2 linked regions of the Rhinolophus ferrumequinum genome follow. The main gene of each other region encodes a partner of the protein of the gene in region 2 in a complex. Links are inferred from orthologs where the notes say so. Each region holds a gene or a part of one and is shown on either strand. Other genes may lie near its edges. The genes, in order: PPARA and PPARGC1B.

Region 1 (3,901 bases), on a different chromosome or scaffold from region 2:
CAAAAGCAATTATCCCCGCGACACCCCAGTTTTATCTTTTAAGACGGTAAGGACAATTTAAGTGTCTTTTTTATATTCTGGTATTAAAATCAGCTTCATGAGCCATCCATGGCTGTCGTATTCAGTCAATACTGAACACAACAGCCCAAAGCAGCTACTCCGTAAATATTTACAGAGTGAATGAATTAAATATATACCGCATTTTGCCACGTATAATGCATATTTTTTTGCCCAAATTTGTAAGGGAAAAACAAGGCTGTGTATTATACATGGGTAGTACTAATTTCCTATCTATATGTTTTTAATTCTTTCATTTATGCTTATAAGCTAAAAGTGTAACTCTAGAAATTAATAACGTTATCCATATGCAACATAATACCCTGCAATACAATTTTGTTGAACTTATAACGAACTTGCAACAACGAAGAGTTCTTGGCCTTCTGTGATGCATAAATGTCGTAAATTTGTTACCTGTACATAAACTTTCTTGTACGTTATATCTGTTCTTGTGTTTTGTAATTATTTGTTACACAAAATTTCTTGTTCCACAGTATGTTAAAAAATAAATGCTAAAATTCCTTTATAATACAAAAAACAAGTACCTAAAAGTAAACAAATAAAAATTTGAATTGAAAAATTACAACGATTTTTTTTCCCTAAAAGTTTGGGCCAAAAACGTGAGTGTGCATTAGACACAGCAAAATACGGTATATATTTCTATATCCATATACATTTATATATGGATTGGCTACATACTTATGGTATCTACACACAATAGAATATTATATAGACACTGAAAATAATCAAACACAAATTTACACACAGGAAAAGATTTGTCATAACCTAATAGTTAATAAAGCAGATTACAAAACAGCTTATATAGAAAAAACACGTTTTTTTCTCTCTTCTGTCATTCTCACACACACACATACCATGTTTAAAAAGCAGTTTACAAGTTTGACAAACATGAGCTAGTAAAAAGAACTATTTTATGATTACGGAATGATTCTTATATGTCTAAGATATAAACAAAGAGAGAAAGTCATTTTTCCTACCATCAATTAATTTGCTTTTGCTTCAAAGTTGTATAGAATGTTGTCAGGCTCCCTGTCTGGCCCCTCATGCGCAGTGACCACGAAATCTGTACCATCCGCCACTTCTCCAGGCATCCCTGTCCTAGCTGATGGCAGGTCTAGACCTGAGCTACTACTATCTCAGCAAGCCATCTGCTTTATATTCAAATTCGAATAAAAGCAGCTACAGCTGGCATGCTGCTCTCGGCCGTGTCTGTGACTTCGGTGTCTGTTAAGTACTAACATTTCTGTTATATTACCTAGTTTTCAAGTACATGGAACCAGCCTGCCATAAAGAAACGAAGTTCCTAGAGAAACTGACAGGAGCAAGTTTTCAGAACTTAAAAGGGAATCTACCCACATTTATCTTACTTTCAAAGCACCAAAAATATATCCAACGTTGCATCACAAAGTAATAATTAACCCTCAAATGGCTAGTCTGTAGGGCAACGGAAGTAAACACTTAACCATTTCGGTCTGGAAACCCGAGTAAATCAAACCTTCTATTTACCTGTAATGACAGCGTCTTGGTTCTGAGCTTGTCTTGCCACAAACTGTTACTTCACGGAGGAGGCAGGGCCTTTAACTGCGGCCTTGGCAGTGAGAAGGTAAAGGAGGAAATGATTACGATGTGTCCTCTGGATTCTCCCCAGCTCTCCACCACCTTGGAAGAGGAAAGTCACCGTGACCCCACTTCTTCAAAGGAAATGGTGTGGCAGGGTCGCTACCAGGAAAACCCTGTGCCCCTCCTAGTACCCTCTGGTTTGGGGAGCAGTGGCTGGGGTTGGGGTGGGCGCGCAGCCCCGAAGGTCCCAGAGCGCCCCGCGAAACCCAAGCCATTACACAACGATGGGCTTTTCTCAGAAAGAACCTTGACATTTGGGGCACGCCGTCACTCCTTTAAACTCAAAAAGGCGAGGTTCACACGGGCGTGTAGTTGTCCCCTGTTAGTCTTGGGTGGGCGTGGGGCAGAACCGACCCTCCGGACTTTCGCCGGCACCACCTCGCACCCCTGGGGCCGCGCGGCCGGGGCCCCGGGGAGACCTGGGCGCCGACACCCCGCGCCGGACGCGCGGGGCCCAGGACTCGGGTGGGCGTCGCGCGGCGGAGCCGGCCCTTTGCTCGCCTCGCCCGGCCCATTTGGGTCTCCAGCCTGCGTTCGGGCGCAAAGTGAGGCAGTTCCTCAAAGGTGTCCCAGGGCTGTGAACTAACCCGCCAGTGAGCTTCCCCCGCCGGACCGCAGCCGCCGGGCGCGCGGCCCTGAGGGTCAGTCTGCTGGGGCCTCGGGATACCTAGCCTCGGGGAACCCCGGGAATCTCGGGAAACGCTCCCCGGTCGGTGACGCCCAAACTCGACCGCGCTGTGGGGAGGGCGCCCCACGTCCCGCCTGGTGGGCCTTCCTTCCCGCGAAACAACCAGAGGACCCGTGTCTCTGAGGTCCCGGCCTCGACCTCCACACAGCCCCCAGCGACAGCCGCGGAGGCCGGGGCTCCGGGCAGGCCCCCGTGCCAGGAGGGAGGCGGAGCAGGGGGCGGCCCCTGGGCCCGAGGTTCCTCCGCACCAGCCACAGCGAGCGCCCGCGGCCCGCGCCCCCGTCCCGCGCATGCGCCGCCGGCCCCGGCCCCTCCCCCGTCCGCGGCCGCTCTGGGTCCCGGGGTGCCGAGGCCCGGCCCGTGGAACCTCGCGCGCGCCCACCCGCACCCGGGCACCTGGGGCCGGGTCCGCCGCCTGCCGGTCCGTCGGGCGAACGCGCCGAGGGAGGCGGCACCGGGCCGGGCGCTAGCGGCCGCCTCCGCCCCCGCCGCCCGCTGCCCCCGCCGTGGGGCCGCCGCGTCCCCTGCCCATGCCCGGCGCCGCCTGCCTCGCCCGTGCCAGCCGCACCCCCGCGGCACGCGCCGCCCCTCGATCTCCCCGCCCGGCCGGGCAGCGCCGGCGGCTGGCGCGGGTGGCCCGCCCGGAAGCCCCGCCCCGGGGCCCCCACTTCAACCCCGACTCCGCCCCCGCCCCAAACCTCTGGACCCGCCCCCGAGCCCCCAGCCGCGGCCCCGGGCGGACACACCCCCGGGTGGCGGCACCCCATTGGCTGCCCATGGGCCTGGGGCGGGGCCGCTCTCGGCTCCTCCCTCCTTGTGGCTGGCGGCGGCTGCACTGTTGGGGAAACTGAGGCGGGGGAGGCGGAGGGACTGCCAAGGTCACCGGATGGGCGGGTACGGCGTCGCGACGGGACACCGTATGCGGCTGGGCATCGGCGCGCTTCCAGCCCCGCGCACTCTGAGGGGCTGAAGTCCAGGCGGGGTTGGGCGCAGGGCTGAGAGACGGGTGGAGGTTCCCGCTCGGCGCCCAGGCTACGCTGGCTATGCCCCCCCTCGGAGAGCTGGGCTCTGCGGGTCTATACGATACACTGATCTAGACCTCGCAGAGGCGCTGTGCCCTGGCGTTCCTGGGGTGCGCGGGGTGCGGGGCGGCCCCGGGTGCGGTGCGGTCCCTAGCATCTCAGGATGCAAAAGTCCGAGAAAGGGAACGCGAGCTGGGAGGACGCGTAAACAGGTTGTGATAGTGCCCGGGCGAGGGCGGCGGGCGGGGGACCGAGATGGGTGAAGGGCAACCCGGACACGCGCTGGGACGCACTGTCAACTCCCACCACCAGCCCCCACCCCAGCCGAGGATGCCGGAGAGCCGCGCAGGCTCCCGCGGTGCGTCGGGGTGAGGGGCTGACTGTGCTGGGCCGAGGGCCTGGGCCTCTGCCAGCGTAGGGGGAGGTCGCGGCCGGGCCGCCTCTGGTGAGAAGAGGGGAGAGCTGCAAAGCGGCTTTGTTTGCGCGACGACGC
Region 2 (3,901 bases):
CTTAACTGCTTGAGTTGCCCAAGACTAGAGGACGATGTGGCAGGGCTGGATCAGCACCCCGGACTCCTGACTCCCAGGCTAATGCTCCTAGGCCAGACGTAGACTCTCTGTTGGAAATCATTGTTCCTTAAAAGTGTGCTGGCCTAAAGCCCAAAGAGTGAAATCACACCCTGTGGTTCTGGGAAGTTCAGATTGGAGAAGAAGGAAGCTCTTGCTCTCGTGTTCAAGTCTGAGCAGGTGTACTGGGACTCTCCCTATTTCCTCCTCTGGCTGGGAGGGTGCCCACGCTGGGGCAGGGTGGGGCAGCCCTTATGAGAGCAGGTAAGGGGAGAGCAGGAGGCAGGCCTGCCCAATAAAACAGGTCTAATTCTTCCCGCCTTCATGCCTTTATCCAGGCCATGCCCTCATCTCCTGCCTGGCAAATTGCAGGCCCTGAAGATGAGAGTTCAAGGCTAGAGTCAAGATGCCTGAGTTTGGGTTCTGACTCAGACACTCCATATGCACCCTGACTCTGGGCAGTTTCCTTATCTATACAATGTTTGGTGAGGGGATCACGATTCTCTGGGTTTTTAGTTCATAAATTATTTATTAAGTACCTACTATGTGCTGGGCACTGGAGACATGACAAGTGCAAAAGCAGATTCAGGCCTTAGTTTCATGGGTCTTGGAGTCTAGTAAGGAGAGACATATGGATCAAATCTTCACTGAAACAAATGTAGAAAGGCACCTGGGGCTAGTGTTTTAGAGGCAAAGCCTGCTGGGCAGAGGGAACCCATGATGGGGGATTGAGAATGGGCTGACAGTCTGAGGGACAGTGGGGGAGGAGGCCCTGAAGATGTGGTTACTAGGTGAATGGAGGCAACACTCAGTGTGTAGAGGCCCATTGAGAGATGTTTAACGGGAAGCCCTTAGGAGCCTCGCTACTTCAAGGCATTGTGGCCCATGGCAAGAGAAGTCATTGTAGTTTTTTGTTTTTGTTTTTATTTTTTAAAGGGTGTAGGGCACTGAGGGAGCCTTGAGAGAGAGAGAGATGGCCAAACTTAACAGAATATGGGTCAACAACACCTCTTTCAAGGAAAAGATAAAAAAATGCCACCCCTTCCAAGAAGCCTTCCCTGATTTCTCCACCTTTGACCTATGGTATCCCTTCTTCTCTGGCCTTGCAGCCCCGGTAGAGAAACTCAAGCCTCCGGGGCAGTCAGATCTTAGCTTTGCCTTTTTGCTATTGAAGTGCACTGTGGCTTCAAACAAGGTCCTCTGCTTTCCCGGGCCTCAGTTTCCCCAGCAGTGCAGAAGCAGGTTGTCTCGAAGGACCCGCCCAACGCTAAGGCAACGTGATTCGCTCTGGCAAAAGCGGGGGGCTACCCGCATTGCTGCGCAGGCATCGGGCTGCAGGCTGGGCACCGTCACCGGGCTGCGGGCGCTTTCCTCCCGGCTAGGGGCTGCCAGCGAGGATCACCGCTCCAGACGTGGCGCAGGAAAGTGGGGGCGCGACTCCCGGCTCGCTCAGGCACCGCGCGGCCCCGCCCCCGCAGCCAGCGGCCCTGCGGCAGCCGGGGCCTGAGCTCCGCCCTCCGCCTCCCGCGGGCCTCGCTCCCTCCTCCCGCCTTCCTCGCTAGCTCGCTGGTTCCCTCCCCCCGGCCCGCTCGGCGCTGACTCCGCGGCACGCTGCAGCCGCGGCTGGAAGATGGCGGGGAACGACTGCGGCGCGCTGCTGGACGAAGAGCTCTCCTCCTTCTTCCTCAACTATCTCGCCGACACGCAGGTACAGCCAGCTGGGGCCGCGGGCCGGGTGCTAGGGGTGCTGAGCTGCGGGGGCTGCCGCCGCAGCCGCGGAGACCGGGAGGCAGCAGTGGGCGCATTGAGGGGTCGGGGGTTCCAGGCTGCAGAGTCCCCCTTCCCTGCACCTTGCGATGTGCTCCGTTAAGGGGGCAGGGAGCTGGAGGTTCCCCTGCGCAAGCTGGAGCGTTGGGGGTGCTACGGTCGCTGGGTAGGGTCTAGCCTCGGTCGCTTGGAATCCGTACCCCCCGCTGGCAGAGCTGGGATGGGGGGGTACCGCGCTTCCTTGGAGAGGCGAAGTCGCGCCAAGGTGTGGGGTACCCTCAGGCTAGCTCTGGGTGCTGGAGGCGCGCCCTCAGGTTTCCGGCACTTGCTGCCGTACTTTCACGTGGACTTGTGGCCCCGGCACAGGCGCCGGCCCCCGTCCTCAGAGTCCCCTCGTCCTCCAGTCTCCAGTCCCCCCTTGGCTCCGCATCGGCTCCATGGCTCAATCGGCGCCTGCAGCGCGGAGTTTGCTGCCAGTTGTCTGCTAAGGGCATAGGGGTCTGAGGGGCACGTGGACATGGCAAGCGGGGATAGCACCTTCCTGGTTTCGCTACCTGGTTGAACCCCCCGGCGGAAAAGCAAGGCAGGATGGGGGACGAAGGACTGTCTGGGGGCGCCTGGGTCCCCCTGCGGCGCGCGGCCCGGGTGCGCGCTTGGCGGTGTTGGGGGGAAGGGAAGGCCAGGCGGCGTCCCGGGCTCTGGTTGCGCCTGGGAGCTCGGCCGGCGACACGCGCGTGACAGGAGAAGGTGCTGTGGTGTGCTGGTGTGTGTGTGGGGGGTACTGAGGGAGCTGGTGACTTGGTGACCGAGGCGAGTGTGTGTGTGTGTGTGTGTGTGTGTGTGTGCTGTTGGGACAAGTAGCTACGGAAAATGCCTGCACTAGGTGTGCGCGCCCCCTACCCCTTCCTTGGGTTTCCCCAGCCCCATGCCTGTTGCAAGCGTAAAGTTTGGCCCCCTAGTTAAGGCTTTTTCTCTGGGCGCCAGGTTGCGGGAAGCCTGGAGGATGAGGATGCGGCGCCGCCGAGTGTGAGATCCCGGATGCGGGCGCACGCCTGGGCTCCGAGAGGGGCCGCCGGGTGGAACCGGGCGCGGCTCGCGAGGGCTGGTTTGGTACCTGGAGTCTGAGTGCCAGTGCCGGCTCGTTTTGCATAACACTGGAAGGGAGGGGGAAGACGGAGGGGGCGGGGGTGGGAGGGCTGAGAGGGAAACTTTGCTTCTTGTTATAATCTGCCTGTCTTTGGGCGGCAGCAGCTGTCATGGGACCGGGTGGGCGGGGAGAGGCTTGCGAGCTGACTCCTAGCCGGGAGAAGCGACTTGGAGGGGACGCGGCAGCCTAGAGGTTCAGCTCCGGGCGGACTCCCGGCTGGCGGCTGGGATGGCGCGGCGTGGCGGGATGTCGCGGAGAGCAAGCCTGCCACACGCGGGAGAAGGCCGTCCGTCGTTCGCTGCAGACGTCCATGCGTCAGGGAGCGGCGGGGCCTCGTGGTCCGTGGCGGGCGCTCTCGGGTGGGTTCTAGGCAGGGGCTGAAGGGGCCGATGGAGTGTGATCGCTCTTCTCAAGGCCGGGGGTGGGGGTAAGTGTGTGCTGAGTGGGCTGCGCGCGCGGGTGTGTATGTTTGTGTGCACACGCTGCGCGCGCCGGGCGCGTACCTTTACCTCTGACGAAACTGCAGTGGAGCTCCGTTGGCGGTCACCGGGCGCCGCCACACGTCCCGACCCCAGTTCTGCGCGGAAGGCCGATCCCAGTCCCAGCACCAGCACCACTACGGTTCCCCACAGCCCCCCACTCCCCTAACTCCCCGCCGACAGCCGGGGACGAGGGGGACTGGGTGCGGGAGGGGCAGAGGTGCCCCTGGGGAAGTTCTGTCCTCAGTCCTGGCGCTTGTCTGCGAATGTCCCCAAACCTTCGACTAAGACGCGGGCGAAGGAGGCCTGAAATAGCCGGAGACGCGTTCAGGGACCCAGAGCAAGAGCTGTCCATTATGGACTCGACTCCAGGTTTTAACTCCATCTTCAGTGTTCTTCGGTCCACCAATAATTAATTATTTGCCCTTTTAGACGCCCAGCAGGCCTACCC

Evidence for each region.
Region 1: the proteins of PPARGC1B (region 2) and PPARA are in contact, whole or in part, in a crystal structure (PDB 3SP6), measured with the Homo sapiens proteins. The link is inferred for Rhinolophus ferrumequinum from reciprocal best matches to the Homo sapiens genes PPARGC1B and PPARA. Residues at the interface, in NP_573570.3 of Homo sapiens: Ser154, Leu155, Leu156, Gln157, Leu159, Leu160, Leu161, Thr163; in NP_001001928.1 of Homo sapiens: Val284, Thr285, Thr288, Glu289, Lys292, Phe297, Leu302, Asn303, Gln305, Val306, Leu309, Pro458, Leu459, Glu462, Ile463.

What each region holds. Positions count from the first base shown.
Region 1 is NC_046293.1:3,112,522-3,116,422, forward strand, and holds the start of PPARA (peroxisome proliferator-activated receptor alpha), read right to left. Parts: upstream 2,911-3,901; 5' UTR 2,783-2,910; intron 2,639-2,782; exon of another isoform or gene 2,286-2,638; intron 1,738-2,285; 5' UTR 1,585-1,737; intron 1,407-1,584; exon of another isoform or gene 1,056-1,406; intron 1-1,055. UniProt on the Homo sapiens protein: Ligand-activated transcription factor. Key regulator of lipid metabolism. Activated by the endogenous ligand 1-palmitoyl-2-oleoyl-sn-glycerol-3-phosphocholine (16:0/18:1-GPC). Activated by oleylethanolamide, a naturally occurring lipid that regulates satiety.
Region 2 is NC_046307.1:22,082,172-22,086,072, forward strand, and holds the start of PPARGC1B (peroxisome proliferator-activated receptor gamma coactivator 1-beta), read left to right. Parts: upstream 1-1,084; 5' UTR 1,085-1,687; coding exon 1,688-1,765; intron 1,766-3,901. UniProt on the Homo sapiens protein: Plays a role of stimulator of transcription factors and nuclear receptors activities. Activates transcriptional activity of estrogen receptor alpha, nuclear respiratory factor 1 (NRF1) and glucocorticoid receptor in the presence of glucocorticoids.